Rhinolophus ferrumequinum: one gene and its partners. The protein of the gene in region 2 binds, or shares a complex with, the protein of the main gene of each other region. Links are inferred from orthologs where the notes say so. Each region holds a gene or a part of one and is shown on either strand. Other genes may lie near its edges. The genes, in order: MTA3, CDK2AP2 and MTA2.

What was found.
Region 1: CDK2AP2 (region 2) and MTA3 share a complex: the UniProt entries of both Homo sapiens proteins name them as parts of the nucleosome remodeling and deacetylase (NuRD) repressor complex. The link is inferred for Rhinolophus ferrumequinum from reciprocal best matches to the Homo sapiens genes CDK2AP2 and MTA3.
Region 3: CDK2AP2 (region 2) and MTA2 share a complex: the UniProt entries of both Homo sapiens proteins name them as parts of the nucleosome remodeling and deacetylase (NuRD) repressor complex. The link is inferred for Rhinolophus ferrumequinum from reciprocal best matches to the Homo sapiens genes CDK2AP2 and MTA2.

The regions. Positions count from the first base shown.
Region 1 is NC_046296.1:42,203,673-42,207,416, forward strand, and holds the start of MTA3 (metastasis-associated protein MTA3), read right to left. Parts: upstream 2,445-3,744; 5' UTR 2,372-2,444; coding exon 2,344-2,371; intron 684-2,343; coding exon 616-683; intron 1-615. UniProt on the Homo sapiens protein: Acts as a component of the histone deacetylase NuRD complex which participates in the remodeling of chromatin.
Region 2 is NC_046294.1:4,748,115-4,751,624, forward strand, and holds CDK2AP2 (cyclin-dependent kinase 2-associated protein 2), read left to right. Parts: upstream 1-718; 5' UTR 719-1,291; coding exon 1,292-1,373; exon of another isoform or gene 1,374-1,515; intron 1,516-1,680; coding exon 1,681-1,781; intron 1,782-1,868; coding exon 1,869-2,001; intron 2,002-2,372; coding exon of another isoform or gene 2,373-2,440; exon of another isoform or gene 2,441-2,488; coding exon 2,489-2,649; 3' UTR 2,650-2,879; downstream 2,880-3,510. UniProt on the Homo sapiens protein: Acts as a component of the histone deacetylase NuRD complex which participates in the remodeling of chromatin.
Region 3 is NC_046294.1:8,178,116-8,181,859, reverse strand, and holds the start of MTA2 (metastasis-associated protein MTA2), read right to left. Parts: upstream 2,888-3,744; 5' UTR 2,261-2,887; coding exon 2,233-2,260; intron 1,535-2,232; coding exon 1,467-1,534; intron 1,081-1,466; coding exon 987-1,080; intron 1-986. Other genes in the region: EML3 (echinoderm microtubule-associated protein-like 3), read right to left, coding at 3,268-3,471, 3,561-3,691. UniProt on the Homo sapiens protein: May function as a transcriptional coregulator. Acts as a component of the histone deacetylase NuRD complex which participates in the remodeling of chromatin.

The DNA of each region.
Region 1 (3,744 bases), on a different chromosome or scaffold from region 2:
AGGAAACCAGAGCATCATCTGAAATCTATGGTTTGTGTAGTTTGATTGTTTTCGTGTGCCTCTGTTGTGAAAGCTCATCTACTGCAAACAGTCATAATGCTTCTGATGTCCTAGACACCTGTGATCAGGGACAAACCTTCACGTAAAAGTTTTATTTGGCCTAAGGTACAAAGCTACTTGGGCCTAAAGTACAAAACCGGATTCTTATTAGTTAGCCTAGCCCAGAATTTTACAAATTCCCTTCAACATTCTATTTCCTAGTGTCCTTCTTCCAAAGCTAGAGGAGGAAAAAATTAATTCACTAAAAAGGTAGAAATACGAATTATGACTCTATATATAAAAAGGGACTGAGTTAGAGGAGTGACTTACTCTTGAGAGGTTCTAAGCAATTTGAAGAAATCTGCAGATATTAAATGTTCAATAACATTTAATATCAGAGGTAATTAGAAAAAGCAAAAGAATATTCAGAATCCCTAATAGCTCTCTAATGTGAAATCTCTACTTTCAAAGAGTCTGGGACTGAAAGTAAAATCACCTCTTATGCCCTTTACCCAATTACCTTCAATAGAAAACAATTATTTTTTAATATTAGAATCAAGAACACCAAGTGTATACCTTGTTGAGTTCTTCTATCCTCCTGATTAGGTACGGGTTGCTGGAGGAATTCTCAAAGTACACGTAATCTGTAATTAAAGAAAGAGCTTAATCTTTTCAACAGAAAGTTCACATTTGTCAATCTATGACTTTCTATGTTAGGCAATTCACACTCAAAATGAAGCATGTAATTCATTCCCTGGTAAAAGCAAACTTAGTAATGCAACCTCAATGTATTCTCATGTGCCTACAAATTCACAGACCCTTATATTCCTGCATTTTCATTTCAATTAATGTTTTATCAAGTTCTCCTACACTCTTGTCCCACACATGTCATTTCTTTTGTAACAAAACAAAACAACACCTCTTGTCATCATTGAATAGTCAGGGATGACTAAACCATGTGTCTTTCATACTATAACTGCTTCAACATCTTTTCCCTCTAATCCAATTTGCCCTGGAATATGCTTCTCACATAAAACTATCGATCTAAGACAAATTCCAAGCATCCTGAAAGGCCCAGCAGCCCAAAGTACATTTCAATCAACTTAAACAAAAAATAAACAAACAATCAGGTGAGCAGAGCAGGTAAGAGGAAGCACACTGACAAAACTTTTCCATAGCTCTAGCTAGGACGATAAGGGGGAAAAACGGAGAAGAGTGGATGTCACTTTCTGAGAGACAGAGCTCTCCGAGGTAGGATCAGTCTTTTTTATCACCTTTTACTATAAGTAATCCAGATCCACTTAGGGTCTTGTTATAAAAAATTGCTGAAGCCTTTCAACAAAAAAAGAATAAAAATTTTCAAGTGTGGCTTTTCCTCTCATTTAATAGGCTCACTGGAAATTTCCCACTGTGTGTTTATTTGAGAGGCTGGACTGCATTGTTATTGTCTATCTTAGTGGCTCTTTCCTGTCTCTTTTCTGCAAAGTGGCCTCATTTAGCCAGGCCATTCCCAACACCATCCATCAGGAGTTCAGCTAATGAGCACAGAAGCACAAGCAAGTCTCACACACAAACACACCACTTATCTGAATTATTATTTTACCAGGAAAGAGGGAGGAGGGCGTCGTGAGTAGGGAGAAAGTTTGTTTGACCTTATTTCTCTCTTCTGCAGAAGGCTGGGAAGGAGGCAGACAGGACAGCAAACGTCCAGGCAGAGCTCACCTCCCCACCTCTGGCTGCGGTGCCCTGGCCCCACTAAGCTCCATTCTTGGGGAGCAGGACAAGAAACGGAGGGTGTGAGGAAGGAGAGGTGCAGGGCCCTGTCCCTGCTAACAGGCCTGTCCAGCTGTGACCCCGGCTGGGCCCCCATCGCCCCCACCCCCACCCCACTGAAGAGAAGTAGAAGATGGGGGGATGTCCCCACCCCTCCAACCCCTACAGCCTAGAAGGCACGCGAGGAGAGACCACCCTATTAGGGGGCTCGACGGCCCATACCCCCATGGGAGTTCTTGGAGGGGGCGTCTGATAATTCACACCCCCAAGTACAGGCCCGGCCCTGAAACACTGGGCGGGTGGGGGAGGTGGGCCTAGGCCCCTCGCGAGCCACGGTGGGGGGAGGGGGTAGAGGAAGGGGAGGGGGTAGGGTGGGGAGCCCCGGCCCCCTCTGCGGGCCCCGGCGCCCCCTAACCCCCTGCGCCCTCAGTCCGGGCGCCCGTGGCTCCCAGCGGTTAGGGTGAACTCGCCCCGACCCCCCATTCCCGGAACCCGCTCCCAGACGGGCCGGGTCGGGCCGAGCCTTCCTACCTCCGACCCGGTACATGTTGGCCGCCATGTCCGCCCGCCCGCCCGCGGAGCCCGAGCCGAGCCCCGCCCGCCGCCGCTGCTGCCGCCGCCGCCTCAGCCTAGTCCGCCGCCGCCTCCGCCGCCGCCGCCGCCTCGCCACGGGGGGGAGGGGAAGGAGGGAACGAGGGGAGGGGGAAGTGAAGGGGAGGGGACGCCGACGGGTGGGGGCAGGTGCCCGCCCCCAGCCTCGGGCAAGCGAGGCCAAGTGGGCCGGGCCAGGGGAGGTCGGAGCGCAGCCGGGCCAGCAGGGAATTGGGGAGGGGTCCGGTTTGGGGGGTCTTGATGAAAGTAGAGGATCCTAGGGCAAGAGTCCTGACTTAGGAGGAGGCTTGCACTCGCAAATGCAGACGAGGGGCCATTGGAGAATTGGGCTGGGGGCAAGGGCTCAGCCTCCCCAGAGCCCCTATCGCCCCACCCAGTGTACCCTGTCACCTGCCCACCCTTAGACAGTCTTCCCCTCTGCTTCCGTCCTTGGGAGCCCCAGTAAATGTGACCTCGAGCACGTGAGTTCCTGTCTCGAAGCAAACACTTGGATGCAAATAAGTGCACGCGGCAGGGCGCCTTCCTTGTGCGGATGTTAATGCGGCGGGCCTGGAGCTTGTAGGCCCTAGGGCCAGAAGGACACCAGGTGCTGCCAGCTTCCCCAGGCAGAGACCCAGCTGTGGACAAGGCTAGAAAAGCTGGCTCCCTCCCAAGTCCACCCTAACTGCAGTGGCAGGTCTATCAACGTTCACCCCAAAACTGGGCTGAACAGAACCCACATCGGGAAGACTTGCCTCTAGACAGCCCCTGTATACAGAGCTGCCCTGCTGGGAGAAGAGGATGGGGGGGAGGGCGTTCCTTTGTTCACAGGGGAGCAGAGCTCTACAGTTCTTCACCAGCACCCTCAAAGGAGGGGACAGTGTCAATCAGCTTGCCGTTGATTGTTGGAGTTAACTTAGTTGTGTGCCTAAAGCTTTTACATAGTTATTATTTTCCCATGCTAATTCTCTAGACAATCCCTGTTTTCTCATCCTTCATATCCTCACAGAAATCAAAAACCAAATAAGAGTTGAATCGTAGCTGGCTATCCCCCACATGAGCACAAACAGCTTTCTTTAGAGAAGCCAATCCATTCCAAACTACTCCCAGGCATTGCTGTATAATAAACATGAAGATGATCCCTTACTGTGGTGGATTGTGTGAAGTTTCTGGTGATTTACAGCTATGCGTTGTTGACTCTGAGTTTGGGGTCTGCGCAGGGATGGGAGATGTCCCCAGAAAAGAAGACTGTGTTTTGTTTGTCTGGTGATGGCATTTGTGACGGTCCATTATTGCAAATTATTGAGATGAAAAAAATAATTTTCTAGCTAGCTGAGGCAA
Region 2 (3,510 bases):
CTAGGGATGAGAAAAATCTACAGACTTGGGGGGGGCGGGGCATGAAGGGCACACAAGGCCAGAGAAGTCTGGGGAGAAGTAGCCTGGGAGAAAGGGTTAGTGTTTGGAGGAGAGTGTAAACTCTAGGGTAGTGAGGAATGAGATTTGACGGGGGGTCTGGGTGGAGAAATGGAAAGATTTTGAGACACTGGAGTGAGACAGAAAAGAATGAAATAATAAGCACTTTATGAATATTTATTTAATCCACACAACAACCCTGATAGTTATTACCGTCCCCATTTTACAGATGGAGAAACTGAGTCATATTGAGGTGAGCAACTTACCCAAGGAAAGATCGCTAGTGGGGATGGTGTGAGATTTAAACCGTCAGTCTGACTCCAGTAGGTACTCTTGTCCATGGTCCACTTGCTACAGAGCCTGGCATGCAGTATTTAATGAAGATTTGTTCTTCCTGCTACTGTCATTATGAGGCATAGGCGTGGGACCTTGGCGGAGCACGTTGAGAGGAGTCTCTGAAGTCGCCCTTGGACCTAACGCCAGCGTAGACCGGAGAACGAAACAACTTGGAGGAAGACGTGCGGCGGTGGCGTTGATGAGGTACCCGTTGCCATGGGAACAAACGCAGGCTTTAGGAAGGCGCATGCGCAGATCGGGCACAGGTTGTTGAACCGGCGAAAGGTGACGTAAAAGCGCACGGGGTGGGGCGCAGGGCTCCGAACGTCAAAGCCCGGCGTCCTCCGACATCCGGAGCAGAGGAAAGGCGCGCTGCGCAGCGGCGGCAGCAGCCCCAGCTGAACCAAGACCCAGCGACACGGAGCTGACGTGCGAAGCAGCGCGAGCGAGGCGTGAGGGCGGTGCCCGCGCCCGTGAAGACCTCCTCCGCACAAACCGCGGCGTACCAGACCCAGGTCCGGGATTCCGAGGCCCCGCCTCTCGGGCCTTGGGACTAATCGGATAGAGAGCGCGCGGGCCCTGGCCGCGAACTCGCCAATTGCGGAGGGCGTCGGCCACCGCCCAATCCGGAGCAGACAGGTGCGAGGTCCGGAAGGCGGAGACCAATCAGCAGCGGTTGCGACCTGTTGGAGTCGTTCTCTACCATTGAGGAGGCCCGAGTGACATCTTCGCTCACCAATCGGGAGTGAGGGAGCGTTTGTGCCCGCCCGCCCTTCCGGCCTTAGCTCTATTTACCAGGGGCGTGCATCCCGCCTGCCAATCAGAGCGCGGCTGAGTGGCCAGTCAGCCAACCCCGGAGGAGCGGCCGGCCGGTGTCCCCCGCGCCCAGGAGTTGGGGATGTCCTACAAACCCATCGCCCCCGCCCCCACCAGCACCCCGGGCTCCAGCACCCCTGGGCCTGGCACCCCAGTCCCTACAGGTGAGGATCCAGTTCCACCACTGCTCGCGTGCCCGGGCGTTCGAGGTCTCGAAGAGAAGATGGCCTGAGTTCTGCAGTACTGGGCCTGCCGCCTATCCTCCCTGAGCCTCACTTTGCTGGCCTGTGAAGTGGGCGTGGTCGTGTAAGGGCCTGATGGGGTGCAGGGGGAGGGGTTTGTCTCTGAAGTTGAGCAGCCTGGAATGAAGAATCTCTTTGGAAGGAATCGGGTGAATCCGGTCGGGGGCTTGGAGCGCTGGGAGGAGGCGTCCCTGTCCCGCGCTGACCTCTTAACTCGCGCATGTTGCAGCCGGAAGTGTCCCATCGCCGTCGGGCTCGGTGCCGGGAGCCGCTGCCCCTTTCAGACCACTGTTTAACGACTTTGGACCGCCCTCCATGGGCTATGTGCAGGTGAGTGGGACCTAGGGAATTGCCTATGATCGGGGACTGGAGGCCCCATGGGGCCTGAGCTCACCTCCCTGTTCTCTTTTGACATAGGCAATGAAGCCCCCCGGCGCTCAGGGTTCCCAGAGCACCTACACGGATCTGCTGTCTGTCATCGAGGAGATGGGCAAAGAGATCCGGCCCACCTATGCTGGCAGCAAGAGCGCCATGGAGCGCCTGAAGAGAGGTGAGTGACACCAGGTTCGCCCACCCCCTCATGCCACCCTGCTCCCCCAGGAAGGAAGGACATCTGGAGGCCACCTGAGCCAAACCTAGACTAGGGCCAAGATCACTATCCAGAGGTGTTGTACTGAATTGAATTGAAACTGAGTCAGTTTCCAGGGAAGGACCAGGGAATTTGTATTTAAACGGGGCAAATCTGAGGATTAGCTAAACCTCTAATCTCATCCAGCCCTTCATTTGATTATAGTCCCTCTTACTGAAAGGAATGGGGGTGGGGAGGGAGGGGTCTTCCTCTGGAGGGTGAGGGTGGGACTGTGGAGGGTCGCTGAGACCCTGTATGTTACTTCCCCATCCCCACCCTCACCCCCACCCCAGGCATCATCCATGCCCGGGCCCTAGTCAGAGAGTGCCTGGCAGAGACAGAGCGGAACGCCCGCACGTAACAGGACGCGCCTCCGCCTCCAAGTCTGGACCTTTTCCGGCCACTGCAGGTCACCTGCTTCTCCCTGGCCTTCATCCCGAGTTGCGCTTCCTGTCCTGTGTCCCTTGGTGGGTGCCCTCCAGAAACCAGGGGTGGTTCACTCCAGTCGGCAGCACTAACTGGGACCCCTGCCATAGTCAGCAGCAAGGTCACTGTGAGTCCCACCCATGACCTGCCAATGGTGTTGATCCAACTGGAACTTTCTCCTTTCTGTGGCCCTCAGCACTTACCCAGGACTTCTCACCACTTTGTCCCAGACCCCTTCTCCCCCAGTGGGGCCTCAGAAGGCCTGTCACCTCCCTGCCTTGTCTCCTGGGCCATAGCCACTCTTTTCTCAGTGTGTCTTTTGCTAAACATGCCCTTTTTGTATAAATAAAAGATAATTTGGAGTTGTTCTCTCAGCGCTTAGTCTTTCTGAGTCTGGTACTTCTACTAAGCCTGGGTGGTCTGGGAAGAAAGAGGGAAAGAGAAGACTCGAAGGGTGGGAGAGGCGGACTGGGCCTAGCCCAGCCTTGCACCCTACCCCACCACCCCTTTGTCCAGTTTACTTTGGGAGGGACCCTGCCCCTGTCGGCCATCAGCCTTCCCAGGTGTAAGTAGTATTGGAGAGTTGAGCTCCTGTAGCTGAAACCCTGCCCTCCTTCACATGGTGCCACCAGGGGGCAGCACAAGGCCTTGGCCTCGTCCACCCCTGGAGGGCAATGTCACCATCCTGGGCCTAGAGGGCTCTACCTCTGGATTAGCAGTGATGCTTGGCAGGGTGGAAATGCCAGTTCACTTAAGCCACGCCCTCACATGCCTTAATGCCCTCACATCCTAAAGTGAATCAGCCCTGGAGTCTCTGAATACACACCATCTCTGACTCTGCAGAGAGGAGAGGGCACACCGTGGCTTTCCTGCCCCCCCAGCACCTGTGAAGCAGAGCCAAAGGGGAGAGGGCAGGCTTCCGACACGACTGAGACCCAGCTCTGTGCTGCCATCCACTGTCCCAGTGCCTTTAGCAAACTGGGTGTGGCCCCGCAATCCCGGCCC
Region 3 (3,744 bases), about 3.4 Mb from region 2:
CAACCAAAGTGGGAAGGGGCAAAAGAGCCACAGGCCCAGGCTCATTGGTGCATTGTTCCCAACCTCAGGGGGGGCGGGGTGGGGGGGGGAGGCCAGCAGGCTCCACCCCTCGCCTGTGTGCTCCGGAAACCCTGTGCTAAGAGGAGGGGACCACACCTCCCACACCCCCCCACACCCCTTCTGATTGGACAAGGCCAAGGTCAGCCCCTGCCAGATGGGCCTGGAAACCCCAAAGGGCCAGAGAACTTGGTAGGCCCGGCTCCTCCTTAACCCCTTCATGCCCACAACAGCCAGGAAGAAGGAAAATAATTTAGGAAGGAGGAAGAAGAAGGGGAAAGTCAAAGCAGGAAAGGAACAGGACACTAAAGAAAAGTGAAGGAGATATATTTTTTGAAAGAACGTGAAAGCATAAAGAGAAGGAAGACGACTACAGGAAAAGAGAAAGATATAAAATGGAGTAGAGGGGAAAACAGGAGAGGTGAGAAAGAGGAAGAAGTGCAAGAAAACTTTCCTCACTTCCTATTCTGTCCCGTCAATGTAGTCTCACCACCTGGTGATCACAATATAAGCCTGCTTCCCTGTTGTGCAGGCTTCTAAGTACAATCTCATCCTCTTCACCTTGACCTTCGGCCATGACCCATTGTCCCAACATACCCAAACTGTCCCCCAAGGGTCCTGCGTCTCTAAAGCTCCTCCTCATGCCCTATTTAAATACTATCATCTCTTTACCCACACCATTCACCTAGACACACTTACACACAAGACACATTCTGGCTCTCCTTATCATGGTCTCTTCGCGCTGCTTCCATCCAACGGTTAAAAACAGGCCTCCCTCCACAGAACAGGCATTTCCCACCCCCAAGCTCACACCCCTACCTAGGGCATGCAACCAGGAGAAACACCTGCAGGGACATGCCCAGGCCTCAGCTCACCGGGAAGGGGCGGAAGGGGAGCCGAGGGTAGGGTGGGGGTACAAAGACACTCACTGGCATTACTATCGGCCAGGCTGTTGAGGCTACCAGAAATATCCCTTCGCCGGAAAAGGCACACAACCTTTGCCTCCACATTTCCATTTGCAGTCTAGGGGGAGGGGGGAAAATGGCAGTGAAAACTGGTCATTTGAAAATAAAAATGCACAAAGAAGAGACTAACAACAATAAGTTTCTAAGGGATGTAGAAAACACCCAGAAATTAGGAATGAGACTTACATTTAAGCACAGACTTCCAAATCTCTTTCTTTAGCCCACAAGAGATAGAACACTAAAGTTCCCACTAAGCTCTAATAGCCAGCCTTTCCTGAATACATTGAATGAATGAATGAATGAATGAATGAATGAATGAATATGAATAGGTACTTAGGATAGGTTTCTCTCCCCACCCTCCCCCTCCACCTGAAGTTAGAGACCTAAGAAAAAAGAGATCACTTTGGGGAAGCGGGGTTGGCGGATGGATTCTGTTCCACTCACCTTGTTGAGCTCCTCAATCCGTCTAACCAGGTAAGGATTGCTGGAGGAGTTCTCAAAATAGACGTAATCTGTAGGAGGCGGTGAGGAATAACCGAAAAAATCAGGAGAAGACGGGAGAGCCAAAGTACTAGGGTAGGAGGAGACCAAAGCAGGCCTGGGAGGACCAAAAGTAGGTAAGGGTCCAGGTAGAGAGGACGCTGAAATGTGTAAGTGGAGAGACTAAGAGAAAACAAGGGATGCCCCTACCCCTGGCCACCTAGTTCTAAAGTCAGACCCTTCGTTCAAAAGCGAGCCTTCAGAAAGAACCAAGAAGCAGGGGGCTCCCCTGCAGTACCACCTCAGCGATGGGGTTGCACTCTAGGCTCAGGGAAGGGAGCAATTATTGTTCACTCTAGCGCAAGGCCCCCCCTCCTTTGTGAACCGAGGCGCACATAACGCCTGGGGAGAAGAAACCTCCCGGTGGCTCCCCCGCAAGAGGCAAAGCGGTCGCCCGGGCCCGTCGCGCCCCTTGCCTGCCTGTCAGCTCCTTTGGAACCACTTTCCCAAGCCCCGCTTCCCGACCCGGGGGACCCCAGACACAACCCTGAGAGTGCCGTCGGGGCTGCCCCCAGCCTCTCCGCGAGCCTCGGCGCCGGGTCGCGTCGCCGTCCCAGCACCCTCGCTCCCCGTGCCCCCGGTTCCGGTTCCGGTCCACTCTCGGAACCACGCCGCCGGGGGCCGAGGCGCTCTCGCCCAGGGCCCCGCAGCCCCCGCGCCCAGTACTCACCTCCCACCCGGTACATGTTGGCCGCCATGGCCGTTCCCGCCGCCGCCTCTGGCCGCACAAAGGGGTCCGGGAGGCTCGGGGGGGTAGGGCTCGGCTCGAGACGAAGCCCGGAGCGCGGGGCTGGCGCTTCGCGGAAGTCTCGGTCAAGCCCGCGCAGCCGGCACCTCCGCTGCCTCAGCCGTCGCGGTTCATCTCGGTCAGCGCTGTCGCCGCCGCTGCTACTGCCTCACACCGGGGACGCCGAGGCCGGCGCCGGTCCGCTCGGCTTCTTCCGGAACGAGCTCGGCTCCCGCCGGCCCAGAGCCAGGCTCCGGAGTCTCCCGCCCTCGCAGAGCCCCACCAGACTTCGGGCCCTGCCGGCCGCGGGGAAGGCTGACCCTGCCCGCCTCGGGGCTCGCCTCCTTCCGGAATACCTTCGGTCGACCGGGAGAACAAGGCCCGGCGCTCGACTCAGGTCGGAGAGCGAGACCCCACAGATCGGCCACTTCCGGAAGCAGTTCGGCTCCCTCCGGCCAACCGGGGCCCCGCGCTCGGTTATTTCCGTTGCAGCTCCGCCCCTCCTCCGACGCCGAGAAGAGTTGGGCTTAACTCTCTCCTCGCGGGAGCCATGCCGCTCCTCCTGCGGCCCCGAAAGACTCGCATGCCTGCGCTTCGCGGGCTTATTTGCAAGTGGCTTTGCCTGTCATTTGCATGAATGGTCTACGCTCCCTCACCCTTTCCGCGCTTCTCTTTTCCTTAATCCCCACCCCCACAGGGCCCCGGAGGCGCCCAGCCGCGCCCCACAAAAGGACTGGGAGGCGACTTTGCTTTTTGGTTTATTGCCCCTCAGCAGGCTGCGGGAATCAGGGTCCAGGCTGGGGCAGCCCGGCTCAGCCAGCGGGTCTATACAGTGTGTGCAGGGGTGCCGTTGTCCCCCTCCAGGGAAATGCGCGATCGGGAATGTCTCCAAGTCGAAGAAAGGGTCGGCTCCTGGTCCAGGGGTGTCGCGTGGGGCGGGGCCACGCCGCGGGACTGGTGGGCCCGGTCTGGCAGCGATCAGACGTCCAGAGAGGAGGCGGGGGACAGGGAGGGGGTTCGAGAGGGCGTAACAAGCGCCGGCCCCGCGCCCCCGGCGCCCAGCACTCGCCACTGAAAGATGCTGGCGTCTTTGCCACCCAGCGAGATGAGGTGCGAGTCGTCGTGAGTGAATCGAACGCTGGTCACGTGGCTGCCGTGGCCGCCGTACACAAGGCTTGGCGCCTGGGTTGGGGGAAAGGTCGAGTTGCGGGAGCTGCGCAGCCCCGGGCCCTGCTCGCCCGCCCAGCCCCAGAGGCCCCGGGAGGCCTCACCTTGGCGCGAGCGCACGGGTACTGGAAGAGGTGCACTTTGCAGAAGTCGTCAGCCACAGCCACCACGCGCTCGTTGTGGGAGCGGCACAGGGAGTTGATGTCGGTGCCATCCGAGCCGTCCGGCCACACGCCTAGCACAGTGGCTGGCCTCAGCCCGGCCTCCTCCCCGCCTCCACCCACAGCC